Rattus norvegicus: one gene and its partners. The protein of the gene in region 3 purifies or fractionates together with the protein of the main gene of each other region. This does not show direct contact. Links are inferred from orthologs where the notes say so. Each region holds a gene or a part of one and is shown on either strand. Other genes may lie near its edges.

Region 1 (4,114 bases), on a different chromosome or scaffold from region 3:
AGAGGTACACATCCCCCACACCAACACACAATTACAAGTAAGTGGGACACGGTGGTGTAGGCCTCTGAGAGGCAGAGGCATGTGAGTCTCTTGTCAGTTTGAGGCCAGCCTGGTTTACATAGTGAGTTCTACAATAGCCAAGGCGATGTAGAGAGACTGTCTTAAATTTATTTAAAAAAAAAAATAGCAACAACAGTAAATAAATAAAACTAAATCTTATAAACAAGAAGCCAAATAGCTCTCTCTCCCTTTCTCCTCTGTGGCTCACTATCTAGAGATAGTCGTGGTCCTTTTCTAAATTAAAACAATAGCAGGAGTTCATGGCTGTAATCTCAAGGCTAAATGCAGATAGGCACTGTAGCAGAAAGCCTCTAATCTCAAGGAAGCAGAGGCAGATGGATCTGACTGTGAGGCTAGCCATGACTACAGAATAAAACCCTGACTTAAAACACAAAATGATGGGCTAGAGACATAGCTCAGGGTTGCTCTTCTCTTGAACAGGACCAGAGCTCAATTCCTAGCACCCACATAAGTAGTTTACAGTCATCCATAACACAATAGGGACTACAATTTCCTAACTTCCACATGAGGAGAAGGCCACAGGTTGCAGGATTTGATATGTTCTTCTGACTTTCTTAGGCATCAAGTGCACACAAGGCACACATATATATTTCCAGACAAACATATTGCAATACAAATTATTATAATCTGTATTGCAAATACCAATACAAATATTTCCATTCACATATAAAATAAAAACAAATAAGATTTTTTAAAGGAATTGAAAATACACACATCCCAAAAGAACCATCACCACCAATGGTAAGTAATACAGGGGTTTGGAACCAGGTTCTGGAAAGGTAACTAATGAAGAAGGTCAGAAAAGAACACATGGTTCTATACAATTCAGTAGTAAGTACTCTATGCTAAGCCCAAGGTTCAAGGCCCAGTAGAACCACACACCCACACACCCACACACAAATAAATGTTCTAAGACATTTAACTATGTAAGACCCTACTTTACAAAAAAAAAAAAAAAAAAAAAAAAAAAAAAAGACGAAGCCAAGGCAGATGTGGTAATCTACAATCCCATAATCCTCTATCACAGTGTGTATAATCCAAGCACATAGACAGTAAAGGCGAAATGGTCAGAGGCAAAGGCAGCCCCGCTATGTGTCCCCACCTCCCAGAAAGACACATCAACCCTTGGTAACAGGCAGAATTAACTATCACACATATCTACTCACAAAATCTACGTGGCTTTTTAAATATCTGCTTTAGAAAACCACGAAAATGACCTGCGCATGATGGTGTCTCAAAGAATTATGCAGGAAAAACAAAAGATAAACGTGGCCACACTGAACTTAGCTCAAGACTCAAATTATGCCTCAACTATTGGCGATTCTACTTCACCGTGTATGGAAGCAGGTTTCTGTAACCTATAAAAAAGAACAGACACACCATACTGGTCTGAGGTCCCCCTGTGTTGTGTCTGGTCCCAAAGGCCAGAGCCATGCCTGTCCCTTTGGGCTGGAGGTCTGCACAGAATAGGTATAGAGTTCTCCTCTGTACCTCCCACTTCTGAGTTCTGTCAAGGTGAGGACAGGCTAAACAAAATCTGCCTCACTCAACGGTAACCACACCTCCCAGCTCAATAGGAACGTCAGATGTCCTACAGAGTAAGGGACAAAAGGGTCAATGACAAGAAAATCAGGCTCATCCTTCACAAAACAAACGAGCAAAAGGGGTGTCATCTCTACAAAGTACTGGTGTCTCACCTGGGCCCCCACAATAAAAGTCCGAGTCTGAGAGTCCAGGGTCTTCACCAGTACCTCCAGGCTGTCAGGCTCCTCCATAGCGGTACTGGTACTATCACTCGGCTCCATGGCCGACAGCTCTCTAAGGAAGAACGAGGAAGGGGGGGGGGGATGGTTCGCTGTCGGTCGCGCTGTATTTTATACACCCGGAAGCCTCTCTGGACCCAATCTCCGCCCCAATCCCTTGAAAGTTTCACATACACAAGCACATATATTCATCCTCCTCCTCCTCATCCCCCCTTTTTGATTCGGGGGCACAGGAATAGAAACACAAAGGGTATGAGATCGACGGCATAGGGAGATGAAGGACGAGAGGTGGGAGGGGCTCTACAATGCCAATCACAATAGGGAGAGCCAGTTGGGCTAGGAATCGGGGAAGCAAGCACGAGACCGATCAGAGACCAGTGTCATCACCGGTCGCGACCGAGCAAGCGCCCGAGAGATCGGGAAATCCTAGGACAACGCGAGGGGGGGGGGGAGGGTCGCGCTAGACTCGGCAGAGAAAGTAGCTTCGCGCACGCGCGCCACCACAATCGAACCCGCCTAAATCACCACAGACCCAAGACCACCGACACTCACGGGAGGCTGGATGGGCTCGCTGACCGCCCCCTCCTTCCGCCTCCGTCTTTCGTCGGTATTCCAGCAACACGACTTAACCAACACGCGGCCAAACACATACAAACACATACACAGCCCACCACCCTGTGGCTCCGCCCCCGACTTCCCCACGGTACCGTCACTTCCGGTCTCCCCCAACCTGGCACCAAGGGCCACTTCCGTTTCCCCGATAGTATTTGGGGATCTCGAGGCGGTACTTCCGGCTCCCCCAGTCTCCCCCGATTTACTTTCGTGGGGCACGATGAGAAAGTCCACAGCCCCGAGCAGTGAGTTTCTGGGGGGCGAGACGGGCCGGGGCCGGCCTAGATGGGAGGGAGCCGACCACCCGGAGGAGCCGCCGCCGCCGCCGTCGCCCGGGGGACCGCACTGCGCCTGCGTGAACCGCGTACGCGTGCGCACACTTTAAGTATTTCCCCGCCCCCCCCCTCCGGCTGTGTGCGTTTCTTCCCTGCTCGCGCCGTTGTGCTACCCGACCGGGGTGTCTACTGTAAACGCCTGAAGAAAAATTACTGGGTGGAATGCTGCACCTTCCTGGGGAAAAGAGTCTGGGATTTCTGCGTATTGCACCTCGTTAATCAACGTTCCTATCTTGACGGACATAGAAATTTACAGGCACAATTCTAACTACCCAAACCTCTGCAAGACCTCTGGTCCTCCCGTCATTCCTGCTCTTCCGGAAGCCACTCTTTTCCGTGGACGGCTTGGGCGTTCCGCGGGCTGTATTTGCTTGTGCTCAAGTTTAGTTCCTGGCGGGATTAGGGTAGTTGGACGTTTTGCAGACTTTGGCCGTCCTATTGGTCTTTGATTGAGAGCACTATGGGAGTGCCATATTTAAGGATAACTAAGCATACTGCTTTTTAGGAGCTTTTTTAAAGAAACGAAAGAAAAAAAAACGGGTGCCTTAGGGATCGGATTGAAAGACAAGGACAAGACTTTTGAGAAAGGAGATTGGAAGGCCAGCCACCGAGGGAGTTAGTTGAACAGGGTGGGACGGTTGTTTCTCTACATTCTTCCCCACTTATTCTTAGATGCCAATACTGATGAGAGTTCCAGTAAGCATTGTATATTGAGACTTTTATATGCTGTTTCAGTGTTAACTCTGAATTGCCCGGAACCCATAAAGACAATGTACCCCACACCACCACCCAGGGCAGGGTCGTGTGTCACTCTACTAGACTGTATTTACGTTTTGAGGTTTTTTTTTCCTCCGAGACAGGATTTCACTATGTAGATCTGGATGTCCTGTAACTCACAGAGATCCACCTGCTGGGATAAAAGAACTTAAATATTTTTTAAAATGCTTTTCTGGGGGGTGGCTGTATGGCCTTCGTCTGTCACAGCACAGCGCAGGTGTGGAGATCTGAGGGAAAATGTGCTCTTTCACTGCGGGGACCTGGGGATCAAAGTCAGGTCCTCTAGCTTGGCTTGCCATCCGCCAAGCACCATCACTGCTGGAACACTTCCCTAGACACACATTTAGTATTTTATTATAAAGATTTCAGGGGCTGGAGAGATGGCTCAGCGGTTAAGAGCACTGAGTGCTCTCCCAGAGGTCCTGAGTTCAAATCCCAGCAACCATATGGTGGCTCACAACCATCTGTAATAGGATCTGATGCCCTCTTCTGGTGTGTCTGAAGATAGCTACAGTGTACTCATACACATAAAATAAATTAATAAAT
Region 2 (4,131 bases), on a different chromosome or scaffold from region 3:
TGCCAGACACTGAGCTGGCAGACTTGGTGGTGCCCTAGTCTTTCACATGGGAAGTGAATCTATATAACAGGGATGCTACATTCTGCCCCATCTCCATCCCAAGCTGTTGCTACTGGCTACCTGTTTATGGTAATAGCACTTCTGGCTGGGACTAAAGGTGTGTGCCCACACCTGGGAAGTTTAAGTTTTTGGAGACAAAGCTTGGGCTTATTCAGAAAGCATTTAGTACAATCGTTTGCAAGGCACTGGGAAAGACAGCAGCACTGCCGTTTTTGCTCAATCCAGCAATAGGATCTTGCTAAGACCCTCCTGGGGAACTAGAGGAACACAGCTTCTAACGGAAGGTATCACTAAAGTGCCCACAGAAACCAGCAGGCAAGTGGGCAAAGAAGATGTCTGGGAATAGTGGCCAGAGTTGACTTTTTTTTTTTTTTCCAGGAAAAGCCACACACCTGCTCTGTGTGGCCACTCTTTTTACATGTTGTAAATCCATTTATTTTCTAAATGAAGGCCGAACTGAACACTTCTGCAGGGCCGACTTGGGTCTAACCACCACCCCCACCTCTGACTAAAAGTTGTCTCTATTTGGGGCTTTGGGCCACACAGCTGAGGACAAGCTTGTATCCCAGGGCGGACGTCTGGTGTTTCTTACATGTCATCTGAATCATCTGAAAGTCTTGTTTGACTGGCAGGTCATGCCTGGAAAGTTTCTTTCCTTTGGGGTTAGCGGAGAGGTAGCTGAAGCTGACCTAGGCTAATCTGTAGTCTTGAACCCACGCCTCTCCTTTGCCTTCCTCGGTAATTCCCAGGTGCTGCAGATGCTACTGGCCCCTGGGTTGTTCAGACGAAGGCTTGAGCTACATTTCAGGGGCTGAGAGCTACTGCCACAGAGGCTGCCGGTCGGTTGCGCTGTGAAGGTGCATCTGCCTGCTAGTCGTGCCAGTGGTGGCGGTGCACTCCCAAGCTACCTCTTGACCTGGAGTTTCAGTTCTAGAAGGCCAGGTCGGGCGGAGGAAGGTGTTAGATCTTAATAGTTAGGAGAAGCCTCTGGAGGAGGCGCAGGTGAACCACATGAGCACGCCCCGGCCGAGGAGCAGAAAGCAGGACCGAATCCTGTTCTCCTAGGGATCTCTACCTAGTTCATTCGTTCCTGGTTTCCCAGGCAATCTAGAGTGCACTCTATCCTCCAGTACAAATTTCTCGCCCGCAAGATCGGGGTTTAAAGGCGGCTGCGCCGTAGAGCACTCCCATGGTGCCGCGCGCTGGGCGGGTTTGTATTTTAAATCCCCGCGGCCAATCAGCAACGCGCAGGCCCTTGTAACGTTCCCAGCGCTGCGTTTGAATTCGGGGAGGAGCGGAGCAGAGCAGGATCCTCTGCACCTACCCGGCCAGGTCCGTGGAGCAACATCGGCATCATGAATGCAGCGGCCAAAGCTGGAAAGCTGGCTCGAGCACCAGCCGACCTAGGGAAAGGTGGGGTCCCGGGAGACGCAGCTCCCGGTGCCCCAGGGGCCGCCCCGCTGGCGAAAGAGATTCCGGAGGTCCTGATGGATCCACGCAGCCGGCGGCAGTATGTACGGGGCCGCTTTCTGGGTAAAGGAGGCTTCGCCAAATGCTTCGAAATCTCAGACTCAGACACAAAAGAGGTGTTCGCAGGCAAGATCGTGCCTAAGTCTTTGCTGCTCAAGCCCCATCAGAAGGAGAAAATGTCTATGGAGATCTCCATTCACCGCAGCCTCGCACACCAGCACGTCGTAGGCTTCCATGGCTTTTTTGAGGACAGCGACTTTGTGTTCGTGGTTTTGGAGCTCTGTCGCAGGAGGGTAAGTGTTTCTGGGGCTCCTACACCTGGAACTTGCTGGCAAAGTGGCACCGAGGTTTTGGAGTGGCCTAGAGGAGTGTTTGGGTTTTATTTAAGCTGTTATGGAAAGGCTTCTAGCGACGGTACTTGGCACTCCGGATCCTGTTGCTATTAGTGAAGGGGCTCCTAGACGCAAGGCTGTGAGTGGGTACAGGAAATGGATGCGTAAATTGGCTAAGGAAGGGTTCCAGGCTTGAGGTGCCGAGGATCTCGAACTTCCGGAGTGAGGCAAGGTCGGGGGAGGGGGCGGCTGTTTGGAGTCAGACCTTAGAGCTTTCAGGAAAGGGAGGGGATCTCCTGCCAGGAGGAAGCCCTGGGATAGGGGATCGAGAGTGGGGTTGAGAGAAGACTCTGTATAAGGGCACTAGTTAAGAGGGTCCGGTGAATGATAGTGACGAGTTTATGGGCAGAGCTATCAGAAACCTGCCAAAACTCTCCACTCCGAGCGCCTAGTTGGCCATATTAAGCTGGCCACCCTACTTGGGCCTCAGTGACCTCTTTCCTCCTCAGTCTCTCCTGGAGCTGCACAAAAGGAGGAAGGCGCTGACCGAGCCCGAGGCCCGATACTACCTGCGGCAGATAGTCCTGGGTTGCCAGTACCTGCACCGCAATCAAGTCATTCACAGGGACCTCAAACTGGGCAACCTCTTTCTGAATGAGGATCTGGAGGTGAAAATAGGTGAGGTGCTGGGCCTGCGGGTGCCTGTGCCAGCCAGCACAAGAGTCGGGAAGGAGGGGAAGGCTGGGAGGAGGGAAAGAGAAGTGCTGCCCTCTGGAAAGGAAATGGAGGGGGGTGTTGCCTTTTTTAGATACATTGCTGTGCCTCAACTCAGTAGTTTTGAACTTGGGGTGCCTCCCCAAATACTCTTTATCCCCTAGCATTGAGCCAGACCCTCAGCCAATTTCTTTTTTAAACAGGAGATGGGGGACATAAGCTATAGGGCATGGCAGGCGGTATCTCCTCAGCTGTCCCCTTGAGTCTGACTTGCCAGTCCCTAGATCCCTGTCACTTCTTCACACACTTGCTCAGCAGCAATCACGAGATCACTTACTTGATTCTCCAGTGCATTTAACTTTATTTATATGAGGGATGGAGACAGGTTAACTTCAAGGAGTCCGTTCTCTCTTCCACTGTGTGGGTTCCAGGATCCTGACTCAGGTCATCATCAGCCTTGGCGGCAAGCCCCTTTACCTCCTGAGCCATGTTACCTAACCTTAACCCTGCTATCTAAAGAGGGGTTAAAGGGCAGTGGGAGGCCAGCTAGGGCCAGTACAGTGTGTGTGTGTGGGGGGGGGGGGGTGTTCCGGGACTATGGGGGTCTCAAGCCACTAAGTTGTCAATGCTCAGGCTTGAAACAGCTGTTTGCAACCTTAGACAGCTGATCTAAGTAGCTGAGCACCCTCTCTTCTTCCCTCTGTCCCAGGGGATTTTGGCCTGGCAACAAAAGTGGAATATGAAGGGGAACGGAAGAAGACCCTGTGTGGCACTCCTAACTACATAGCTCCCGAGGTGCTGAGCAAGAAGGGACACAGCTTTGAGGTGGACGTGTGGTCCATTGGGTGCATCATGTAAGTTGGCAATGAACTTGGGCTTCTGGGCCTCAGCAGGAGTCTCTGGGGCATCTCACCCAGTTGACCTTACCAAGTGGATCTTTCTACCTTACAGAAAGGCTGTTTTAGAGGACAGGCTGCCCCACATGAAACCCTGGTTTTCATGTCAGTCTGGCATAGGCTGTGGGGATCCCTGTAACTTGGACTTGTTTAAAAGCAGTCATAGACCAAAATCATCAACACCTGAGAGCTTGTTAGGAATTCAGAATCTGAGATCTGAACCTGGGTTTAATACAATCCCTGCCTGATTTTCCATGAAAATCAGGAAGCCCTGCTGAGTGCTGATGGGAGAGTTAGGCCAGCAGATAGTCTGGTGGTAAGCAGAACCCCCACCATGGTGGCCTCTGGAACCCTTGGAGAGTCCTCTGTCACTGCAGGCCAGAGCCAGGCAATCCCTGACACCTCGGAATCCAGGTGTTTTCACTTGCATTCTTCCTAGTGCTTGCCCAGCCTTTGGTTGCTGGGCAGACTTGGAGAGCATCCCATCCTTTCCCAGTCAGTGAATCCAGCACAGCTTCCCCAACTCTGGTCCCAAGACAATGACTTCTACATTTGGATTTTCCTTGGAGTTTGAACAGAATTCCTCCTTGTATCCCCAGGTATACCTTGCTGGTGGGCAAGCCACCTTTTGAGACCTCATGCCTAAAAGAGACCTACCT
Region 3 (4,016 bases):
AGGAATCAAACCCAGGTCCTGTGGAAAAGCAGTCAGTACTCTTGCCACTGACCCATCTCTCCAGGCCCAAGGTTTATTATCTATTTTTATGTACTCAAATGTTTTGCCTACATGTATGTCTGTGCACAGAGGCCAGCAGAGGGCACTCACAGATGGTTGTGAGCTGTCCCGTGGGTACTGGAACTCACACTTGGGTCCTCTGGAAAAGCAAGCCGTGCTCCTTCCCACTAAGCCTTCTTTCCAGATCCTCTAAGCCTAAATTTTTTAAAAATATGCCACTTCCATATTTTTACTCACTTATTATTGTATGTATATGATGGGTGTGTGAATGTGTGCACACACATGTCACAGCACACACATGAAATCGGAGGACGACTTTTGTGATTTGGTTCTCTCCTTCCACCATGGGTTCCAGGGATGGAACTCGGTCATAAGGCTCGCACTTTCACCCACTGAGCCATCCCACCATTTAAACACAGCAAAGTGCCTTAAAAGCAAGCATTACGTATGAAGCACCACCATCTGCACTCACGTGTTTTGCTCACTTGTCTCTCAGTTGTTCTCCACATCAGCGAGAAGAAAGACAAGATATGCCACATCCAATTTATCTACTATTGGTGTGGTACAGGTACCAGATCCATTAGTGCATAATCAGATGACAAGTCCAGAGAGTAATTCTGATTATGAAGAAAGTAAAAGGAGACAATGGGACAGAATCCAGGAGGAAATTCCTTGCTTAAACGGAGGTGATCAAGGAAAGGCCCCTGATTGGTAACGCCTGACTGAATGATTTTCCACTGTGAAAAGACTGGCATCTTGGGCAGATGGCAAAGCAGATGCCCAAGTCCTAAGACCTGATGGCATTTGGAATGAAGAGAAACTAAGTGAGTGGTTTAAAGCTGAGGGGTGGGACAAAGGTCAAGGTCAAAGAGGCCACTAGCACATAAGGTGTTGTGGGAAGGAATTTGGGTTTTACTTGGTGTGGAACAGGGAAATCACTGACGAGCCAGGGCTCCGATTTGCACTGCAGAACTCTCTGGAGGTTCTAAAGTCTTCAGGAAGCCCAGGATGAAAAAGGGTGAAAAGTCCCAGCCAACTGAGAGGAGGATGGTGGGTGGGTGTGGCCAGGATGGCAACAGAGGTGGGGATGAGCAGCTACATTCCTGGTGCTCTTCGGACATGGGAGGTGGGTGGGGATCAAACATTGCTTCTTCTTGGGAGGTGGGGCAAGGAAGGTGCCATTTACAACACTAGGGAAGGCAGTGAGAAGCCATGGAAAGAGCTCCACTTTGACAAGTTTAACAAGTTGTTGGGTTCCAAGAGTATTGTTCAGGAGAGAAGAAGGAAGGGGAGTATAGGCCTCTGGGAAACAGTGCAGAGAATATCTACGGTTGCTGCAGGTGCAGGCCCCTGCCACACAGATTAGGTACCGGTTCTGCCTAGTGACCTCAGCCCATGTTAACTCTAGCACAGCTAACTAACAAATGCTACATGCTTATGAAGAGCTACGGATAGAAGGTCAGGAGATAAAGGGAGATAAGATTGAGGTCTGTTGGGCCTTCAGGGGATGAAAAATGATACCTCTGTAGAGGCCAGCCAAGTGAAACCCTTCCTCCTCCTTTCCCAGGTCACCTAGAAAAATATGACGAGGGAGTCAAATTAGTGATTTTCTGCAGTCCAACCACAATACTGAATGCAGATTAGGGGTGGGGAGTGGCATGTAACCCCACCAGAAGCAGAGGAAGCTCACATTTATTCATTTCTTGAGGGTTTTCTGTTAACAGAAGCAGCCTGGGGTTCTTGTACTTAAATCCTTTGACACAATCACAAGAGAGGAAGTGATACCAAGCTACACGGCTGACCTGCAGTGTGGAATTTGTACCCCCCGACTTGTTGCCACGGACTAATAGCATAGAGGTCCCTGCAGCAGAAAAGCCACAAAACCCATCTTTATGCCAAGGTCATTGCCTGGGGATGAGACTAAAGTTTGAGAAGATGCAGCATTTAGGCTTTTTGAAGACATAAAAGTCTCTCAGACACAGCTGGAATTAATGCTGCCCTCACTGACATTCACCTGAGTTCTGAGATCGAGGCTGAATGCCCTTCAAGTTTTTGAAGCTTCGCAGTATCCAAAGAACATTTTTTTTTTTTTTTTGCTTTCTCTTGTTTTCATCCTTTTCCTCAAACTTCTTTCTTATATCAGAGAAAGGGAGATGGCAGGGGCGTCCTGGATACAGCAAAACTTCCGACCTGACTTCCACAGAGCTTCTGATCCGGTCACGGAAATAAATATCCACACTCCCGAGAGACAAGTCTCCTGGCCTCAGGCTAGATTCCTGGCGGGACTCAGGTCTCCAAGTGCAGAGAGGCTGTTTTGAACAGATGTCACTGCCTACAACTGTCCAGATCCAGGATCAGGCCGTAGCCCGGACTGGCAGGCCTACCCCCTGGCGCGGCTGCCACAGGTCGTTGCTTGCGGCCAGGCCTCGCTCGAGTCACCAGGGCCTGGGAGAGGCAGGGGGCACTCCGAGGTTCTTTCTGTCCAGCCTGGGCAAACGCTCTGCACCACCTACCTGCTTGCTAAAGGTGCTGGATGCGGTTCAAGGAACTGCCGGGGTCGCGAATCCGTATGGGGCAGACCGCATTCTCCCCTAATCCGGTTCAGGATCTTCTCTGGCACCGAGCGCCCAGGCCCGGGGCGCTCCTGCGAAATCCTAGGAGCACTCGGCTCTGACCAAGGTCCCCTCCCTGAACAACCTCAGTGAGCACAGAGCACTGAGGACCCACACCCAGGCTGCGAACTTACCAAGAAGAAACCAGACTAGGAAACAGGTTGACCGCGTTCGACTGTGCAGAGCCCTCCCAGATGAAGGGGCGGAGTGGGGCGGGGCCAGCCACGCGGCCATTGGTCAGGCGTGGGGAGGGAGGGAGGGGTGGGGCCGGAAGCGCGGCCATTGGCCTAACTGAGTCCCGCTGCGATGGGGTCGGAAGTATGGCTGTTGCCTGGCTGGGAAGGCCTGGGTGGAGCTGAGCCAGGTCGGTCTCTGGGCCATTGGATGAGTCCCGAGGTTCCAGAGCGCTCGTCTAGAGGTTAGCGCCCTGCAGGCCTTGCTCTGGGGCTCTTCTGATTTCCTGCAGGTGCATAAAGGAGATTGTTTCTTCCTGCTTGATCTAGAACACTTTCCAGGGAAGTCCAGAAGCCAAGAAAACTAATGTTCTTAAATTCCGTCCCATGTTCTTCAAGCAAAGCAGCTCTGATAGCCAAATACTGAAGGAGAGAGAGTCTTCGTGTGATCCACTCTTATGTCTCCAGTACTCCGTAAACAAGGGATGTCACGCAAAATGTCACAGGGGTGTGGGTGCCTAACCAGGTGACACCAGCTGGGCTGATAGGAACAGGATGCAACAAAAAGACTGCACCTATCTGGGGATATGCACCAAGTTATAACCGCTTATAACTCCAGCACTAGGGTAACCCGACACCTCTGACCTCCACTGCCCACCAGAGATAAACAAAGGAATGCATGCTTTTTACTTCCAGTCAATTGTTTCAACAAGAAGTAAAAACTAACGTACTTAAAAAGAAGTATCAGTTACCCTAGCATGCCCAGATGGTAGAAATGTTTTATAACTCAATGTAGGTGGTGAGTACGCAGCTTGAGCATATGTAAAAAAATCTATCAACTGGGGCTGCTGAGATGGCTCAGCAGGTAAGGGCACTTTTTGCCAAGCCAAAGATCTGAGTCTGGTCTCTATAATCTGCATGGTGGAAGGAGAACTAACTCCCCAAAGCATTGGCATTTATCACCCCTCCCCCTATAAATGTAAAACATGAAAAAAGTTGAAAAAAATGCATCAATGACATACTTAATGTTACAATTTCCATGTTAAAGAGAGGCCTAAGGGATTCAGTGGAGATCACTGAGGTTTGAGCTGCCACCAAACAGAATTAGTTGTGTGACAAAGATGCCGGAACTCTTTGAATGCGATTAGATTTTATTAGTGTTTGTCTTAGG
Region 4 (4,167 bases), on a different chromosome or scaffold from region 3:
CCACCCTGTCCGACACCGCCCCAGGACTGCAGAGAACCAGCTCACATCAGAGAGGTGGCCAAAGGGGTTGGGAAAGATGAGCTTGCTGTGCTCCCTGTGCAGGCCCTTCCCCTCGCAGACGCTGCACAGGTCGTAGTCGGGGCACACACTGCACTTATAGCGAGTTCCCACCACAGGCCCATTGCAACCATCACAAATCACGTTGGGGTGCACCATGCTTCGTGCCTCCTGAGCACATGGGGGGCGATGTTCCCGCCGGCACTCCTTCTTCTCTGCAGGGAGAGTCCAAGAGTCCAATTTAGTTGCAGGTAAACCACTTAGGAGGCCAAGAGGTACCAAGCCCTGCTCTGTTCAACACCCATGGCCCACACAGCAGGACCTTTGTACCTCTGACACCTCCCAACCCCCCTATATCCACCCCAAGGCATCAGAACTCATCTCTGTCCTAGAGACAACTCAGACCCCTGAGCCTTAGAGGAAGTCCGATGGGAAGTACCTGGATGCAGTCTTTACCTTTAATGTAGATGCGGAAGATGTCATCTTTCACATAGGACATGGCCATTGTCAGTTCCTCATCACTGGAGAAGGCGACCAAGTCCCCATCCTCATCTAGATTGTTTAGGAAACAACATATCAGAGCCAGGGACACAGCTCATTGGTGGAGCGTGCAGAAGACTTAGGTGCCATTCCCAGAACTAGAAGCCGAAAGGGCAGCACAGGTACCCAGCATCTGCTGGATGCCCACTGCTATGTACAGGGAGCCCAATGGTAAGGGACATCTACAGAGGCTCTAGACGCAATCTGAGTGCTGGAGCAAGCAGCCAGATGGCCACTCATTCTGATATGGCGTGAGTACATGTTCTAACCCAAGTCCTAGATCCGGTACATGCACAAGGCAGAGCATATGTCATGTGTGTAAGGGTCCAGCTTCCTGCCACAAACCACTGGGCCATTTGTGCCCTCAGGCCACACGTAAGTAGGCCAGGTCCATTTTCACCTGGGAGATTCCAGCCAGTACCCTGTCCTGATGGTCCAGCCCTTCAAAGGCCTCAGGCTTCAGAAGGAAAGGAGGTAAGCCCATCTGTCCCCTCCCTTCAACTACGTGACCAGAAACCACTGTGCATTCAGACGCTGTCTAAGTTGTTCTGAGGTTGAGGTTGCTCTGTTGGTTTTGTTTTTGTCAATTCTAGGTTTTCTGCGCCCTGCCTGGCCTGAGACTGCTTAGAACAGGACAGCCTCCAACTTGTGTAGGTGAGCCTCCTTAGTGCTGGGATCACAAACATATGCAACCAAGCTGCCAAGTGGTTTGGGTTTTTTTGGGTTTTTTTTCTTTTTTGCCTTTTGATATTTACTTTTACATATGTATGTACGCACTTGAACACACAGACACACACACACACATACACACATGCACACTTATGTGTATGCATGTGCCACGAAGGCCATAAGAGGGTGTGGGATCCCCAGGAGCTGCAGTTGATATGAGCGCTAGGAACAGAACTTGGGTCCTCTGGAAGAGCAGCAAAGGCTTTAACCACTGAGTCATTTCTCAAACCCATCTGCTTTCATTTTTACATTAGCACACAGGTACTGGGAGCGCAGCCATATATTTCTATGTCAGTACAAACAGTCTTCAACCACCTCATACAGGACAAACCACACATCTGCAGGCTAGGATATATATATATATATACATATATGTGTGTGTGTGTGTGTGTGTGTGTGTGTGTATCAGGCTAGGCTATACACACACACACGTAAAATTTATAAAAAAAAAAAAGATTCTAAACCGAATGTGATAATAGTTATATAACTCACTTTTTAAAAAATGCAAGGAGTTTGGGGGGCGGGGTGGTAGCTCAGTCAGTCGAGAGCCTAACATACATGAGGCCCTAGCACAAAGATGACTCGGAAGGACATTAAGACCTGGGTGAATTGTACTGGACCTAGGTTAAAACTCACTTACACTGAACATTTTTTGTCCAGAATAATCCCTATGATTCCTGCACTGGAAAGCTGAGACAAGAGGATTGAAGTGAGGCCAGCCTAAACCACTCGTAAATTCAAGGCGAATCAGGCTACGTGGCTTTATCTCAGAAAAGAGACAGACTGATCAACCAACCTGGCCTACCCACAGTCCTCCATAAAGAGATCTCAATCTTATCCCCTCCCAGGGGGAGGGCCTTGTCCACTAGTCTCTTGTCAACAACTTCTAGCTCCACCCCATGCAGCCATCAACCACTGCAACGCAAGAGACGGAGCTAGTTCCGGGGTCCCCTACCTCCCTTCCCACGGGCTGCCCCACCCCGCCCCCGCCGCTTATTTACCCGCGTCACTGCTCTCCACCCCTCCTCCACATCTGCCCGGTCCCAGCTCTTCCGGGCCTTTAACTGAACCCATCACCTGATGATACGAGGAGCAAGCGAACCGCGGGATGTCAGCTGTAACCTGAGCGGCCGCCTGACCACCCTGTCCCCGCGGGCAGCCAGAGGACACGCCATCGCGTCCTCGCCCAGACCTGATACTCCGCGGCGGGGGAGGATGGCTTCCCCGCCCCGAGCCCTTACCGCGGTAGTGCGCCTGAAAGCCTCCAGGCCGCAGCGCGGGGAACAGCACAGCCACCCGGCTCAGCAGCCTCTCGCAGGGCCCCGGGCCAGCCGCGGCTTCCGCCTCCGGCTCCGGGCTGAAGCAGAAGCTGAAGCGGCGGATCTCGCGGGCCGCCTCCTCCTTGCCCAGTAGATAGGCCTTCACCGTGAGCGAAGCCATAACCGCAGACTAGGTACGGAGGAAACAGCTGGGCAGCGGCGGCTCCGAGAGCCCAGCTTTTATAGGATACGGGGGGAGCCCCGCCTCGTGGGGGGCGGAACCTCTCTGAGCTCCGCCCCTCCCCGCTGTCCGGGCGGCCGCTCGAGGGCCCTTGATAGGACCCCTGACAGGTATGGGGGCGAGACGCCCCCACCGCCTCCTCTTTTTCTTTCCCTCCGAATGCATGGGTGACCCCAAGAGACCAGCCTCAGTCTCAGTTCGATGGGAAAAGGGCCGGTAAGTATCCGAGCCTAGGCTCCTCCCAGGTTTGGGCCTGCTTATGACTCAGCAGTGTAGTCCCCAAGCCAAGGGGGATGGATGCCCCAGCACAGAGGCTCAGACGACACAGATGCCTACTGTCAGGTAGCCATTCCTTGGCCAAACAAGCTGTTTCACGGGATACTGTTCCAACCCTCCCAAACTTAGTGTCCCCCGTAGTAGCCCTCCACCCTACTCTCTCTTCAGGCATCCACCATGACCAGCCCCTCACTGAATAAAGGGACATCATCCATATGTTAGGCCTGATCCAATTTGACAAAGACTGGATGTTGGACTAGCACTGGTGACTTCTCACAAACCCACCCTGTAGGAGGGGTAGCCAGGGCTCCAGAAACTGCAATAGTCACCACTACTAAGACTGAGATTCCTCACAACAACCCACATAATACACACACACACACACACACACACACACACACACACACCACAGCACACAGGCTCTAAGGGCGGAGGGGAAGGAGCATGTATCTCAGGCCTTAGTGGCTTCAAAGAGCACAAAGGAATCAGACCACTTGCCCTCCAACTAGGAACTAAAATACAGGCTTTAGCCAGTCCTGTGACACAGACTTGTTATCCCAGCTGTTTGAGATGCTGAGGCAAGAGAATACCAAGTTCAGGGTCTGCCTGAGCAGCTTGGTGAAGCTGTTTCAAACTAGAAAGTGATCTGAGTACTTGGGAGGCCAGAGGTTCCGGAGTTCAAAGCCAGCCTTGGCTACAAGAAGCCTCTCAAAAAAAGGGGGGGGGGGGGCAAAATAAAGAGGCTGTCTATGCAGTTTAGTTAGGATACAACTCATGGGGATTTAGCTTAGCATGGATATACTCAGGGAGATTTAGCTTAGTAGGGATACAGGTCATGGGAATTTAGCTTAGCATGGATATACCCAGGGGGATTTTAGCTTAGTAGGGACACAGTTCATGAGGATTTAGCTTAGCATGGATATACCCAGGGGGACACCACTAATGGGGATTTGGTGCATAAGGATTTGGTGCTCAGTGACAGAGTACCTGCCTGGTATATGTCACATCTTAGGTTCAACCCTCAGCACGAAGGCCAAAACCAGGAAATGCTGCTTTCTGTGGCAA
Region 5 (3,500 bases), on a different chromosome or scaffold from region 3:
CAGAAAGGACTCAGACTCCCAGTCTTTATGGTAAAAACCTACATTTGATTTGTATAAGGTTATAAACACACTGGTCTCATCACATTAATACTAATACCCTTTGGAATTCACTTGAGTTCCTTCCCCTAGCCTAATCTTTTATTTTCTTTCTATCGGCATCTCTGTCTTTATTTTTTTGAAGCCCTGAAAACTAAACTCTAGGCCTCACACATGCAAAGCATACACACTCTGGCCACTATTCTCATTTTAAAATTCACAGTCATTAAGTAGAGAGACTGTTCAGTGATCGGGAGTATTTGTTACTTTTTATAAGACCAGAGTTCAGTTCCTACCACCACAATTGTCTGGTACCTTATAGTTACCAGGAATTCCAGTTAGAGACAATCTGAGACTCTCATCTGACCTTCAAGGGCACTTATACACAGACACAGACACCCAACACATAAATAAAAATAAATCTTAAAAAAAGGTAAAGGTTGGGGATTTAGCTCAGTGGTAGAGCGCTTGCCTAGGAAGCGCAAGGCCCTGGGTTCGGTCCCCAGCTCTGAAAAAAAGAACCAAAAATAAAAAAAAAAGGTAAAAGACCCAGTCACCTCTGCAGATCATCAGAGCTTAGCTAGCTCTTTCCCTTTCGTTACCAGTTACTGAATAAAATCTATTCTCATGGCTCTAATACCTGTCTACCTTCCTGTTTCACATTGGTATCCTTATGAAAAGACAGGAGGACTGTGAGAAAATTCAGAAGGTCAATGGGTAAAGCCTAAGAACAACCTGAGTCCAATCCCTGGCACTCATAGTAGAATGAGGGAACTGACTCCTGCAAGCTGTCCTGTCACCTAAATTGGCACCCCATGACAATACCCACATCCACACGTGTGAGTGCAAGCTCAGACATACATACTACACAAAATAAAATATAATAAAAAATTTTGAAGAGAAAAGGCTATGTGACAAGAGAGTTATGGAGAAGTACCTGAAATATCCCTGTGAGGAACCTACCTGCCCATACCTTCATCTTAGACCTCTGACCTCCAAAACTAGGGACTACTCTACCCTTTCCCCTAGACTAGTCCTCTCAGATGGCACAATCCCTGCTCAACTATTGTCACCAGGGTCCTGAAACCAACCAGTCCAAAAGGCCTTGAAATACCACCTCATTCCACACTAGGCATACTATCCTTTGGTGATTGTGTAATACAGGGCCAATTCACAGGCCTGGGGTCTCATAATTCCTCCAAAGACTGGTGGGGATCATCTCTGAGCCCCTGAGAAATCCTATCTGATGTGACTGCCTTGTTTTATCCTGGGCCTACGGCTCAACCAGGATGTCTGAGCTGCTGGCAGGGTATGTGAGGGCCTTGGACTACATGGTATAGTCCCTGTTAGACTTCAGGGTGGCTAGAACCTGAGCAAGCTAGGTTAGGTACCCAAGCACTCCGTACCTTTAAAAGTGAATCCAAGATAAATCCTGGCTTCCAGGGCTTAGGAATGTTTCCTGGTTGATAGTACTCTGTGCACAGTGCCCCACCATTCATAGCAAAAGCACTGCTCCCTGAGAAGCTCACATCTGGCCCCTCCTGGCTCCTACAACATATGCATTGTACCTCGGATAATTTTGATGTGGACCCTTTCACTGTAATAAACTAACAGTGAGTGTGATGGATTCTCTTGGTTTTAAGAGGGCTCCCAGCAATCAAGCCTGAAAAGGTCCTGAGGCACCTCCAACAACATACTTCCTATGGGCATATGAGTGTCGATATGGTCTTCAAACACAGGTGGGGCAGAAGGGCCTGCCCATCCACTAGCTACCTGTTGGCATTTCTTCAGATGCTCCAAATCCTCTAAGGCCTGTTCTCTCTGCCTCCGCAGGTCAAGCTTCTCCAAGCTCAGTCTCTCCACCAGCTTCCTGGCTTCCTGGAATTTGCACATGAGGAACTCCTTCTCCTCCCGCTGGCTGACCTGGAAATGCAGCAGCTCCTCACAGCGTTCCCTCAGCATCTGATTGCTCTGCCGGATAGCATCTAGGGATAGGGAAGACAGCAAAACAGGAGTCCTAACAGCCAGGTAACCCTATAATACCAAGTGGCCTTTCTCTAAGAAGTCAAACCAATTCCTAGCCAATTCCACTGATGATATACCCCCCAAGTGTCTACAGTGTATTACTTAAACACAGATCCTTCGCTTAAAGGGATTCACCAAAATCAACTTTAAGTGCCTCATTTATATTCTGGTCAATTGGAGGTATCCCTACCCTGGAGCACTCAGTCCCAGTCCTCCTGGGCCTGCATCTCTGTCTTCAGAATCAGGGAGTCCTAAACATGCCTGAAACACTTGGGGAGGTAATGAAACAGTCCCCAAAGCAAATTTCACTGTGTACTTTCTGGCTGCAACCTGGGAGCCCAGAAGATACAGACAGAACAAGCTAATAGTTCTATGAGTTTCATTCTCTTCAGCTGCATATTCAAGAACAGTAAACATCACCTTAAAAATGAATGTGAACATGAGCAAGAAGGCAATGCCAGTGCAGAAGACATACTCAAAGATCTCTTACTGGAGCTGGCCACACCTTTCCAAGAGCAGGCCACATTTCATCTTAGGAAAAAACCCTCTCTCTCTGAAGAAAAATATATCCCCTCCTATCTAAAAGCTTGCTATGTCCCAAGAATAAACCTATTCCCATTGACCCCCATATCCCACTTTTCCCCTACCTACCATGGCTTTTTAGCTTACCCTCCTTCCCCTTCCCTTCTCCCTTCCCTTGTGCTGGCTTTGAACCACATTATTTTCTGTATGTGACTCTTCACAGAAAACCCTACTTGAAATGAAGCAAAGTAGCGAAGTTTGAAATGCTGGCTGGTTCTTGGGCACATCATGACTTCATACCCTGCCAATTATGAGATGCAGGTGACAATAAGCTTTGTCCTTACATAAGTATGCCAGGTCCCTCCTAACTTTTAACTTCATGCCTCCCTCACACTGCAACCTTTACCTCGGAGTTCTTGATTCTCTTCCAGACAGCGCTGGAGGGTCTCAGGAGTACCCTGCTCTGAAGGAAGATGTAGCATTGCTGGCTTCCCCAGAGAAGATTCTTCACCCAGCATGTCCTGGTCCTCTGCTGGGCCACCACTGGGTTGCACCATCTCACTCAACTGATTCTTCCAGAGGTGCCTGCTCATCCAACAAGACAGTGTCTAGAAGAAAAAGGCAGTAGGAGTACATGACAAAGAACAGAGTTCTCTCAATCAGCACAAGGGGTTCAATGTATACAGAAGCCCTAGACTTCCATTCACAGCAAAAAGCTGGACATTTTGTCTGATGAAACCAGATACAAAAGTGAAGTTTGGATCTATGACACAGCAAATATTACCATTGCAAAGAGAATTGTGGAGGGAAAGGGAAGTATACTGGGAATCCTACCTCCTCCACATACCTTCAAGTAGAAGCAAAGGGTCCTGGCCCATCACCCAGTATAGTAGAATGATTGATATATCCATGTCCTA
Region 6 (4,212 bases), on a different chromosome or scaffold from region 3:
TTATAGTAGCATGTGCTATCCTAAATAGTAATTATTACATAATCTTCTATTTAGCCATATGATTATTTGATTATCATCCATTTCCCCCTCCATGAGAGCAGGGCTCACATCTGGTTTTGTTCACAATTATATACCAAAACCTAACCCACAGTCTGGTACAGAGCCAATGTGCAGCTAACGTCTTGGATAAGAATTAGATTAAAACAGTAGAAGGGGCCCAGCTTGGCTCCCCTTGTCTAAGATGAAGGTGAGGTGACATGTGGAAGGACACCAGCTATGGTACTACACAGCTGGAACTGTTGTGCCCGGCGCATCTGGATCCCTGATGTTTGAGAAGCATCTGGACCCTGAAGCAGAAAGGAGGTCAGAAGAGAAATCTCAACTTCCTGCTTACCTGGGAGCGGGACTGTTCTTCCCAGGCCAGAGCCCCAAGAGGTCCTGGGCAAATGGCAGCCCCACCTCATCCTCGGAAAACTGGAGCCTGAAACACTCAGAACCACGTTCTCTCCTGTTGCCCTGCAAAAAGAGAAGTGTGAATGGGATTGGCAAATGGTTCAAGGAGTAAACACTCCTGCTACCAAGCCTGAGGACCTGAATTAAATTCCAGGAACCTACAGGGTAAAACTGCTCCCAAAAGTTGTCTTTGGACCATTGCACCCAAACCCACACCCACCATAAACAAATAAATAAATATGTAAGAGAAAAACTTAAGAACAAGCAAAACAACAATAAGGTAAATTTAAAAAAAAGTGCTGTGAAGGTATGGATGCATCACACACACACACACACACACACACAAAAACACACACACACATACACATACAGACAGACACACAGACACATACACATACAGACAGACACACACACACACAGACACATACACATACAGACAGACACACATATACACACACACACATACTCATACAGACACACACATACACACACATACACACATATACACACAGGCACACACACAGACAGACACACACATATACACACACATACACACATATACACACATACATACACAGACACACGCACATATATAGACACACACATATACACACGGCAGACATGAGCACACACACACATACACACAAACATACACACATACAAACACATACACACATCTCTTTCTCACACACATACACAGACACATGCACACCTCTCTCTCTCTCTCTCTCTCTCTCTCTCTCTCTCTCTCTCTCTCTCTCCCATCCTTACCCCTAGTATCTAAGAAGGGGCCATCTCCCAAGGGAGGCTTAGCCCTTCCTCATATGTATAAAAGAAGCCTTTGAAGCCCTGGCCTGACCTCTAGCTATCCTCAGCAAGGATAATCCTAACCCGAGTGATTCTGTTTCATCTCCTACCAGCTCCTGCCTGGCACGGAGGTTTCACAGCTGCCTCAGCCCTGAGTTCCAGCCCAATCATCTGCTTTTAGATTTTATTTCTGCTCGACTGCTAGCAAGCTCAGAGAGGAGCCCTGTGCTGACTGGCGGGCCTTCTCTGAGCCTGGGTTTTTCCCCCACTCATCCTTACTCATTTCCTTCTGCCTTTGCGACACAGCCATCAGATCCTCTTAGCGGAGTTCTAATGGTTGTATCACTTTGCTGTCTCTCTGACTTGTATATAAGACTGGCACAAGTAATAGATGGATGCCTGAGTGAATGAATTTCCTGCTTGACACAAGGATGCTCTGCCACCTCTGCCTTACACTTCAGCCCACTCCACCCCCTGGTCACTTTGCAGATGAGCTCCCCCAAGCCCTGGATTCACACGCTATTCCCTGGCTCTTTATCCAAATCCTTCCCCTAGAGGCAGTGGTGGCAGTCCTGATGATCTCTCCCTACAGCCTCTTTCATCATCTCAGAACTAAGAGATCCTTCCAGACCCTACAAAAACCCCATTTCCTCAAGTCCTCTGCGCCCCCACGGTGGGCCTATTCCCCTCCCTCATTCCATGCAGAAATCAGCTCCCTGAACTCCTAAGCTACTGACGGCCATGAAACCCAGGCCCACACAAGCTATTTTTCCAGGTTTGCCCCCCAGCCCACGCCTCATGCTCCAGGACTGCTACTGGATCCTTGCTCTCTCTCACCTTCCTAACTTAGCCCCTATACTTTGGTTAGCATCTCCTTTATCAGAATCTCAGGCACTCTTCGAAGATACTGCTCAAGGTACTCTTTCCCAAGGAGTCTCTTCTGGCTCCCTGAGCTCTTTGACATGGACGTGCCCCTATGCTGGCGTGGCCTCCCTCACTGACGCTGGGGCTGAAGGGAGGGCAAACTTGGGAAGAGGCTGCACTGAGGAACCTGCTTTAGCATAGCTAGCCAGAGCCTGGAGCTGGCAGAGGTGTTGAGTGGGCTGGAAACAGGAGTCCTGGGGGCCGGAGAAAGGTCAAGAAAACCTGGCAAATCGCAGGATTGACATAAATCAGCTCCAAGTTCGCTGATAAGACCCGCAGGGTCTAGGATAATTCGCTAATCAAGCAGTTGTCATGGCACTAATCAAAAGAAAGGATCCAAGAAGAAGGTGCGGAGCTCCCCCACCAGACTGGGTCCCATACAGCTTTCCCACTTCCACTTGGCTTCGGGGAGCAAAGTGAAGCTGTCAGTAGGCCCGTATTCAGCGCCCAAGCTCCAGCAGAACTCCCAATGCCACTTGCCCACTCCCGCGACCCAGCTGTCCGGCCCTTGCTTCCGGGGCCCAGCGCAGCCGTCCAGCCAGGGCGAGCAGAGAAGCGATCGACCCAGTTAGGCCTTTACCCAGGCTGCCTAGGCCCTGGTGCCTGTCGCCGCGGCCCGGAGGAAAGGAAGCAGGCGTCTCCCGCTGGCTCCCAGCTTCCCTGGCTCGTTCGGCAGCGCGCGTCTAAGCCGCCTCCGCCCGTCAGCAAGCGCGCAGTCCGGCCCACTCTGGCACCCCGCCCAGCCTGGACGCCGGAGCGCACTGAGCGGAGACCTGCAGAAAGAGGATCGTGGGTGCTGGCGCCGGGCGGAGACTCCGGCCCCACCGGGTCCTCCTAGGGCCCAAGTTCCCGTACTGCCCCCTGCAGGTTCCCAAGCGTCAGGCCCAGTCTATGACCTCATATGCACCTCCAAGTCTGGACTTGTTGATAAAGCCCATTTTACAGATGAAGACAAGGAAGCGCGGAAGAGTAAATGACTCGCGCAGGCCTTCCCTGTTGGAAGTAGATAAGTCAGAACAAAAGCTTTTCTAGGCTTTTCTCATCCACAGGGCATCCTGACCTTCCTTCCTTGTCACACCCGTAGCTCACCTACAGGCAGAAGACAGAGCTCTTCTGTGTCATTCAGTTCCAAGACTCTAGGGGGTGCCTCGATCACTTTGCCAGGAAAGAAAAATGGGTCCTAGTAGACACTTCCTTCTCCAACCTGTTCTTCCTGTCTGACATCCCATCATGGTTTAGTCTTGGGACTTCGGGGTTCTAAAAACCCCAACCCTCATCCCCTTCATTCAAGGAACACCCAAGGTTCCTTGTAACCAAGCTGGCAGAGTAACCTTCAGCCAAGGAACGCCTCCACATGCAAACATGGGTGTGCAATGTGCAGAGAACAGATATGAAATAGAGAACTCAAGAGACAGGCTCCTCAGGACAGCGCTGAGAAGAGGTTTTTGTGGTCTACCCTCCGTTGGAACAGGAAAGAATGGTCATAATTTCATCTAGGCGATTATCCATTCGTTCATGTGTGGTGTTAGACCAGTACTGAACACTCACCCTGGGCTGCCAAACAGAGTCAGTCATGCAGGGACCCACCATGCTGACAATGAATTTCTTCAGGGGCTGAGGCAAACTATTAGGAAAATTACTACCTGCTTCTAGCAGAGACAGTGACATTTGAACTGGCTGTTAAGAAGTCAGAAGGGCATACTGGGCAGCATGGAAAAGGGCATATTTACATTTTAAGAGATGTTCTAAGATTGGAGAGATGGCTCAGCAGTTAAGAGCACTGGCTGCTCTTCCAGAGGACCTGGGTTCCATTCCCAGCATTTACACAACAGCTCACAACTAGCTTTAACTCCATTCTCGGTGGATCTGATGCCCTCTCTTGGCCTCTTCAGGCCCTGTGTGTATATGGTGTACAAATAAACACGCAAGAAAACACCCATACACATAATTTTGTTTTTTACTATTAAAAACAAAAGAGTCTGGGAGGAGTTGGCACATGCCTTTAATCCCAGAACAAGAAGGCAGAGG
Region 7 (3,976 bases), on a different chromosome or scaffold from region 3:
GAGTTAGACAGAACAATTTGCAAATTCATTTGGAATAACAAAAGACCCAGGATAGCAAAAACTATCCTCAACAATAAAAGGACTTCAGGGGGAATCACCATCCCTGACCTCAAGCAGTATTACAGAGCAATGGTGATAAAAAGTATATGGTATTGGTACAGAGACAGACAGATAGACCAGTGGAATAGAATTGAAGACCCAGAAATGAACCCACACACCTATGGGCACTTGATTTTTGACAAAGGAACCAAAACCATCCAATGGAAAAAAGATAGCATTTTCAGCAAATGATGCTGGTTCAACTGGAGGTCCTCATGTAGAAGAACACAAATTGATCCACTCTTATTGCCCTGTACAAAGCTCAAGTCCAAGTGAACCAGGAACCTCCACATAAAATAAGATGCACGCAAACTAAGAGAAGAAAAAGTGGGGAAGAGTCTCGAACACATGGGCACTGGAAAAAATTTCCTGAACAAAACACCAATGGCTTATGCTCTAAGATCAAGAATCAACAAATGCGACCTCATAAAACTGCAAAGCTTCTGTAAGGCAAAGGACACTGTCATTAGGACAAAATGGCAACCAACAGATTGGGAAAGATCTTTACCAATCCTACATCTGATAGAGGGCTAATATTCAATATATACAAAGAACTCAAGTAGTGAGACTCTAGCGAACCACATAACCCTATCAAAAATGGGGTTCAGAGCTAAACAAAGAATTCTCAACTGAGGAATACCAAATGGCTGAGAAGCACCTAAAGAAATGTTCAACATCCTTAGTCATCAGGGAAATGCAAATCAAAACAACCCTGAGATTACATCTCACACCAGTCAGAATGGCTAAGATCAAAAACTCAGGTGACAATAGATGCTGGCGAGGATGTGGAGAAAGAGGAACACTCTTCCATTGTTGGTGAGATTTCAAGCTATTACAACCATTTTGGAAATCAGTCTGGAGGTTCCTCAGAAAACTGTCATAGTACTACCTGAGGACCCAGCTATACCACTCCTGGGTATACACCCAAAAGATTTTTCAACATATAACAAGGACACATGCTTCATTATGTTCATAGCGGCCTTATTTATAACAGCCTGAAGCTGGAAAGAACCCAGATGCCCTTCAACAGAGGAATGGATACAGAAAATGTGGTACATCTACACAATGGAATACTACTCAGCTATCAAAAACAATGACTTCATGAAATTCATAGGCAAATAGATTGGACTAGAAAATATCATCCTGAATGAGGTAAGTCAATCAGTAAAAACATACATGGTATGCAGTCATTGATAAGTGGATATTAGCCCAAACCTTGGGTTACCTAAGATACAATCCACAGATCACATTAAGCTCAAGAAGGACGACCAAAGTGCAGATGCTTCAGTCCTTCTTAGAAGAAGGAACACAAATATTAATAGGAGGAAATATATAGACAAAGTTTGGAGCAGAGACTGAAGGAAAGGCCATCCAGAGACTGCCCCACCTGGGCATCCAGACCATATATACATACAGCTACCAACCCTAGACAATATTGCTGATGCCAAGAAGTGCATGCTGACAGGAACCTGAAATAGCTGTCTCCTGAGAGGCTCTGCCAGAGCATGACAAATACAGAGGCAGATGCTCACAGCCAACCATTGAACTGAGAGTGGGGTCCCCTTTGGAGGAGTTAGAGAAAGGATGGAAGGAGCTGAAGGGGCTTGCAACCCCATAGGAAGAACAATATCAACCAACCAGAGCTCCCAGGGACTAAACCACCACCCAAAGAGTACACATGGACAGACCCATTGCTCTAGCTGCATAAGTAGCAGAGGATGGCCTTTTGGGGCACCAATGGGAGGGGAAGCCCTTGGTCCTGCCAAGAATTGACATCACAGTGTAGGAAATGTCTGGGCAGGCGGGTGGTAAGGGGTGGGCGGGGGAACACCATCATAGAAGAAGGGGGAGGGGAGGTGGAATAGGGGGTTTATGGAAGAGAAAACAGGAAAGAGATAACATTTGAAATAAAAATAAAAAAAAATCCAATAAAAAAACTTCAAGATGTGCATTCATTATCCTGAGTACATCATCTAAGAGTATATTTCCCAGTTATTAGGCTTGTGTGTGTGTGTGTGTGTGTCAGACACACACACACACACACACACACACACACACACACACACAAATTGATGTCTTTATTTACCCTGATATGTTCCATTGTAAGCTACACTTGAGCACAAATGCATCAATGTAGGCATGCCCATACGTTCCTCTATCTAAATGTCTATGTACAGAATATGTATGTATGCTCATCTATTGACATTTGTGGGGAGCACTCCCTGGGCTCTTCTCTAAGCTCCTCCAAGCCTAGTACTTCTCTCAACTTCCTTTAGGGTGCTGAGTATCTTAAACCCACTGAAATTTCTAAGTGGCTAGCACTCTCCTCAATCGAGGGTCTTCAAGGGGCTGGGGTTTCCCCGAGTTCCCCCCTCCCCTCTCCCTCCCGGACTAGGTCACCGCCCTGCTTCTCCTGCTCATGGCACTAGGAAAGTCAATTTCAGAGACCAGCTTTCACAGGGAAGCACGGGCAGCCTGGCAGGGTTGGGACTAGAGAACTCCGCTGAAGAGAAGCAGCAGGTGGGCTAGGAAATTCCGTGTGTAGGGCGCTAGTGGGAAGCGGCTCCTTGAATCTGTGGCATTGGGGTGGGGTGGGGGGAGCCCATCTAGTCTGGCCAGGGGTCCCATCCTCACTCACCTTACCAGGGTCCTCAGACTTGGCTAGGCTGTTTTCAGCTTCACTTTTGCAAGCCCGCAGTCTAATTTCACTTTCAGTTTCCTCTCAGAGGTAAGCTTAGAAGGAAGAGGGAGGAGCAAGGGGAGGAACAGGGAGTTGACTGGCAAGCCTTGGAGGCAGATAGGGCGGAGACTGGGCAGAGAGTGGGAGGAGAGTGGTCAGAGGTGCCAGAAACTGACTTCAGGCCACAGGCAAAGGAAAACTCAGTTAATGTCTTCTTGGGTGCAGTCTCTCTAAGGCCTCCTTGTCACCTTTAACAGACTGTAATCTACAGGATATCGACCTTTGACACTGGTCTTTACTTCAAACCTGGGAGCATCTGGGAGAAGAGGTCTGGATGGGAGAGGAGTTACTATCTTTTCTAGAGGGATCTTCCCACAAGACTGATAGTTCTTTAAAATCCGGGTGAAAGATCCTGGCACTGTTTTTGTTAACATATATTAATTGCACAGTATGCTTGACATATGCCCATTTCCCATCCCTCTGTCTTCTCGTTTTGCTCCCCTCTTTTCAAATAGTCTAGGGTGAGAAATTTATTCCTAATGATGTTAGGGTATGTGTTGTAGCAATGAAGGGAGACTTGTGGACATTGATTGTATTATAATTTGCGCTAAAACCATCAGGTGAATTTTCCTTGCCATTTATCATATTTAGGAAATAAAAGCATTCCGTGCTTTGAAATTTCCAGCCCTGTTTAAGAGATCCTTCTCAGTAAAAGGTCACCAGGCGACATCTACTGTCTAGATTGTGCTGTTGTATTGGGACTTGATTCCAGGAACACAACAGCTCCAGGAAGCAGAATGAAAAACAGAGTCAAGCATCTGAAAGGACAAAGGCATCTGCAAACATCAGAAAATGATTCTGCTTCACACCACTGAAGATCTGTCGCTATTTCCTGCAGGCAAAGAACTTGGGTCCCAAAATAAGGTAGTGGTAGAGTCAATGTCTATTTTTCTATTTACCACTAGATGACGCCTTATCTGTTTCAGTTTACACACTGGATAGAGAGATTAATACACACCCTAGGGTTGTGGTGATAAATACTCTATAATGTGCACACAGGATGACCAATGTAATATACTCATAGCTGCCTCAGCTCCCACCTTGGTAATTATCTGAAGACCCAAACTCCTGAAGAACAAAATCTCCTTCACTCTCAGCTAGTACTTTGATATCTCAACCCTCCTTCCCCTGGGCGAA

The links.
Region 1: the proteins of Mavs (region 3) and Bag6 purify together in Homo sapiens (affinity purification with western blotting; 3 studies listed by BioGRID and IntAct, with this or other methods). This does not show direct contact. The link is inferred for Rattus norvegicus from reciprocal best matches to the Homo sapiens genes MAVS and BAG6.
Region 2: the proteins of Mavs (region 3) and Plk1 purify together in Homo sapiens (affinity purification with mass spectrometry; 3 studies listed by BioGRID and IntAct, counting the BioPlex papers as one, with this or other methods). This does not show direct contact. The link is inferred for Rattus norvegicus from reciprocal best matches to the Homo sapiens genes MAVS and PLK1.
Region 4: the proteins of Mavs (region 3) and Sqstm1 purify together in Homo sapiens (affinity purification with western blotting; 3 studies listed by BioGRID). This does not show direct contact. The link is inferred for Rattus norvegicus from reciprocal best matches to the Homo sapiens genes MAVS and SQSTM1.
Region 5: the proteins of Mavs (region 3) and Ikbkg purify together in Homo sapiens (affinity purification with western blotting; 4 studies listed by BioGRID and IntAct, with this or other methods). This does not show direct contact. The link is inferred for Rattus norvegicus from reciprocal best matches to the Homo sapiens genes MAVS and IKBKG.
Region 6: the proteins of Mavs (region 3) and Nlrx1 purify together in Homo sapiens (affinity purification with western blotting; 4 studies listed by BioGRID and IntAct, with this or other methods). This does not show direct contact. The link is inferred for Rattus norvegicus from reciprocal best matches to the Homo sapiens genes MAVS and NLRX1.
Region 7: the proteins of Mavs (region 3) and Trim21 purify together in Homo sapiens (affinity purification with western blotting; 3 studies listed by BioGRID). This does not show direct contact. The link is inferred for Rattus norvegicus from reciprocal best matches to the Homo sapiens genes MAVS and TRIM21.

The regions. Positions count from the first base shown.
Region 1 is NC_086038.1:3,690,530-3,694,643, forward strand, and holds the start of Bag6 (large proline-rich protein BAG6), read right to left. Parts: upstream 2,801-4,114; 5' UTR 2,552-2,800; intron 2,546-2,551; exon of another isoform or gene 2,495-2,545; coding exon of another isoform or gene 2,397-2,494; intron 2,309-2,396; exon of another isoform or gene 2,019-2,308; intron 1,900-2,018; coding exon of another isoform or gene 1,887-1,899; coding exon 1,779-1,886; intron 1-1,778. UniProt on the Homo sapiens protein: ATP-independent molecular chaperone preventing the aggregation of misfolded and hydrophobic patches-containing proteins.
Region 2 is NC_086019.1:186,146,327-186,150,457, forward strand, and holds the start of Plk1 (serine/threonine-protein kinase PLK1), read left to right. Parts: upstream 1-1,331; 5' UTR 1,332-1,415; coding exon 1,416-1,823; intron 1,824-2,371; coding exon 2,372-2,540; intron 2,541-3,285; coding exon 3,286-3,430; intron 3,431-4,071; coding exon 4,072-4,131. UniProt on the Homo sapiens protein: Serine/threonine-protein kinase that performs several important functions throughout M phase of the cell cycle, including the regulation of centrosome maturation and spindle assembly, the removal of cohesins from chromosome arms, the inactivation of anaphase-promoting complex/cyclosome (APC/C) inhibitors, and the regulation of mitotic exit and cytokinesis.
Region 3 is NC_086021.1:138,903,596-138,907,611, reverse strand, and holds the start of Mavs (mitochondrial antiviral-signaling protein), read right to left. Parts: upstream 2,801-4,016; 5' UTR 2,574-2,800; exon of another isoform or gene 2,075-2,573; intron 1,633-2,074; exon of another isoform or gene 1,582-1,632; intron 1,570-1,581; exon of another isoform or gene 1-1,569.
Region 4 is NC_086028.1:35,034,951-35,039,117, forward strand, and holds the start of Sqstm1 (sequestosome-1), read right to left. Parts: upstream 2,801-4,167; 5' UTR 2,767-2,800; coding exon 2,568-2,766; intron 610-2,567; coding exon 514-609; intron 273-513; coding exon 46-272; intron 1-45. UniProt on the Homo sapiens protein: Molecular adapter required for selective macroautophagy (aggrephagy) by acting as a bridge between polyubiquitinated proteins and autophagosomes.
Region 5 is NC_086039.1:157,375,885-157,379,384, reverse strand, and holds part of Ikbkg (NF-kappa-B essential modulator), read right to left. Parts: intron 3,192-3,500; coding exon of another isoform or gene 3,177-3,191; coding exon 2,990-3,176; intron 2,022-2,989; coding exon 1,810-2,021; coding exon of another isoform or gene 1,807-1,809; intron 1-1,806. UniProt on the Homo sapiens protein: Regulatory subunit of the IKK core complex which phosphorylates inhibitors of NF-kappa-B thus leading to the dissociation of the inhibitor/NF-kappa-B complex and ultimately the degradation of the inhibitor.
Region 6 is NC_086026.1:53,500,494-53,504,705, forward strand, and holds the start of Nlrx1 (NLR family member X1 precursor), read right to left. Parts: upstream 2,801-4,212; 5' UTR 2,765-2,800; exon of another isoform or gene 2,665-2,764; intron 2,642-2,664; exon of another isoform or gene 2,098-2,641; intron 2,079-2,097; exon of another isoform or gene 1,371-2,078; intron 517-1,370; 5' UTR 465-516; coding exon 395-464; intron 1-394.
Region 7 is NC_086019.1:166,396,572-166,400,547, forward strand, and holds the start of Trim21 (E3 ubiquitin-protein ligase TRIM21), read right to left. Parts: upstream 2,801-3,976; 5' UTR 2,738-2,800; intron 1-2,737. UniProt on the Homo sapiens protein: E3 ubiquitin-protein ligase whose activity is dependent on E2 enzymes, UBE2D1, UBE2D2, UBE2E1 and UBE2E2.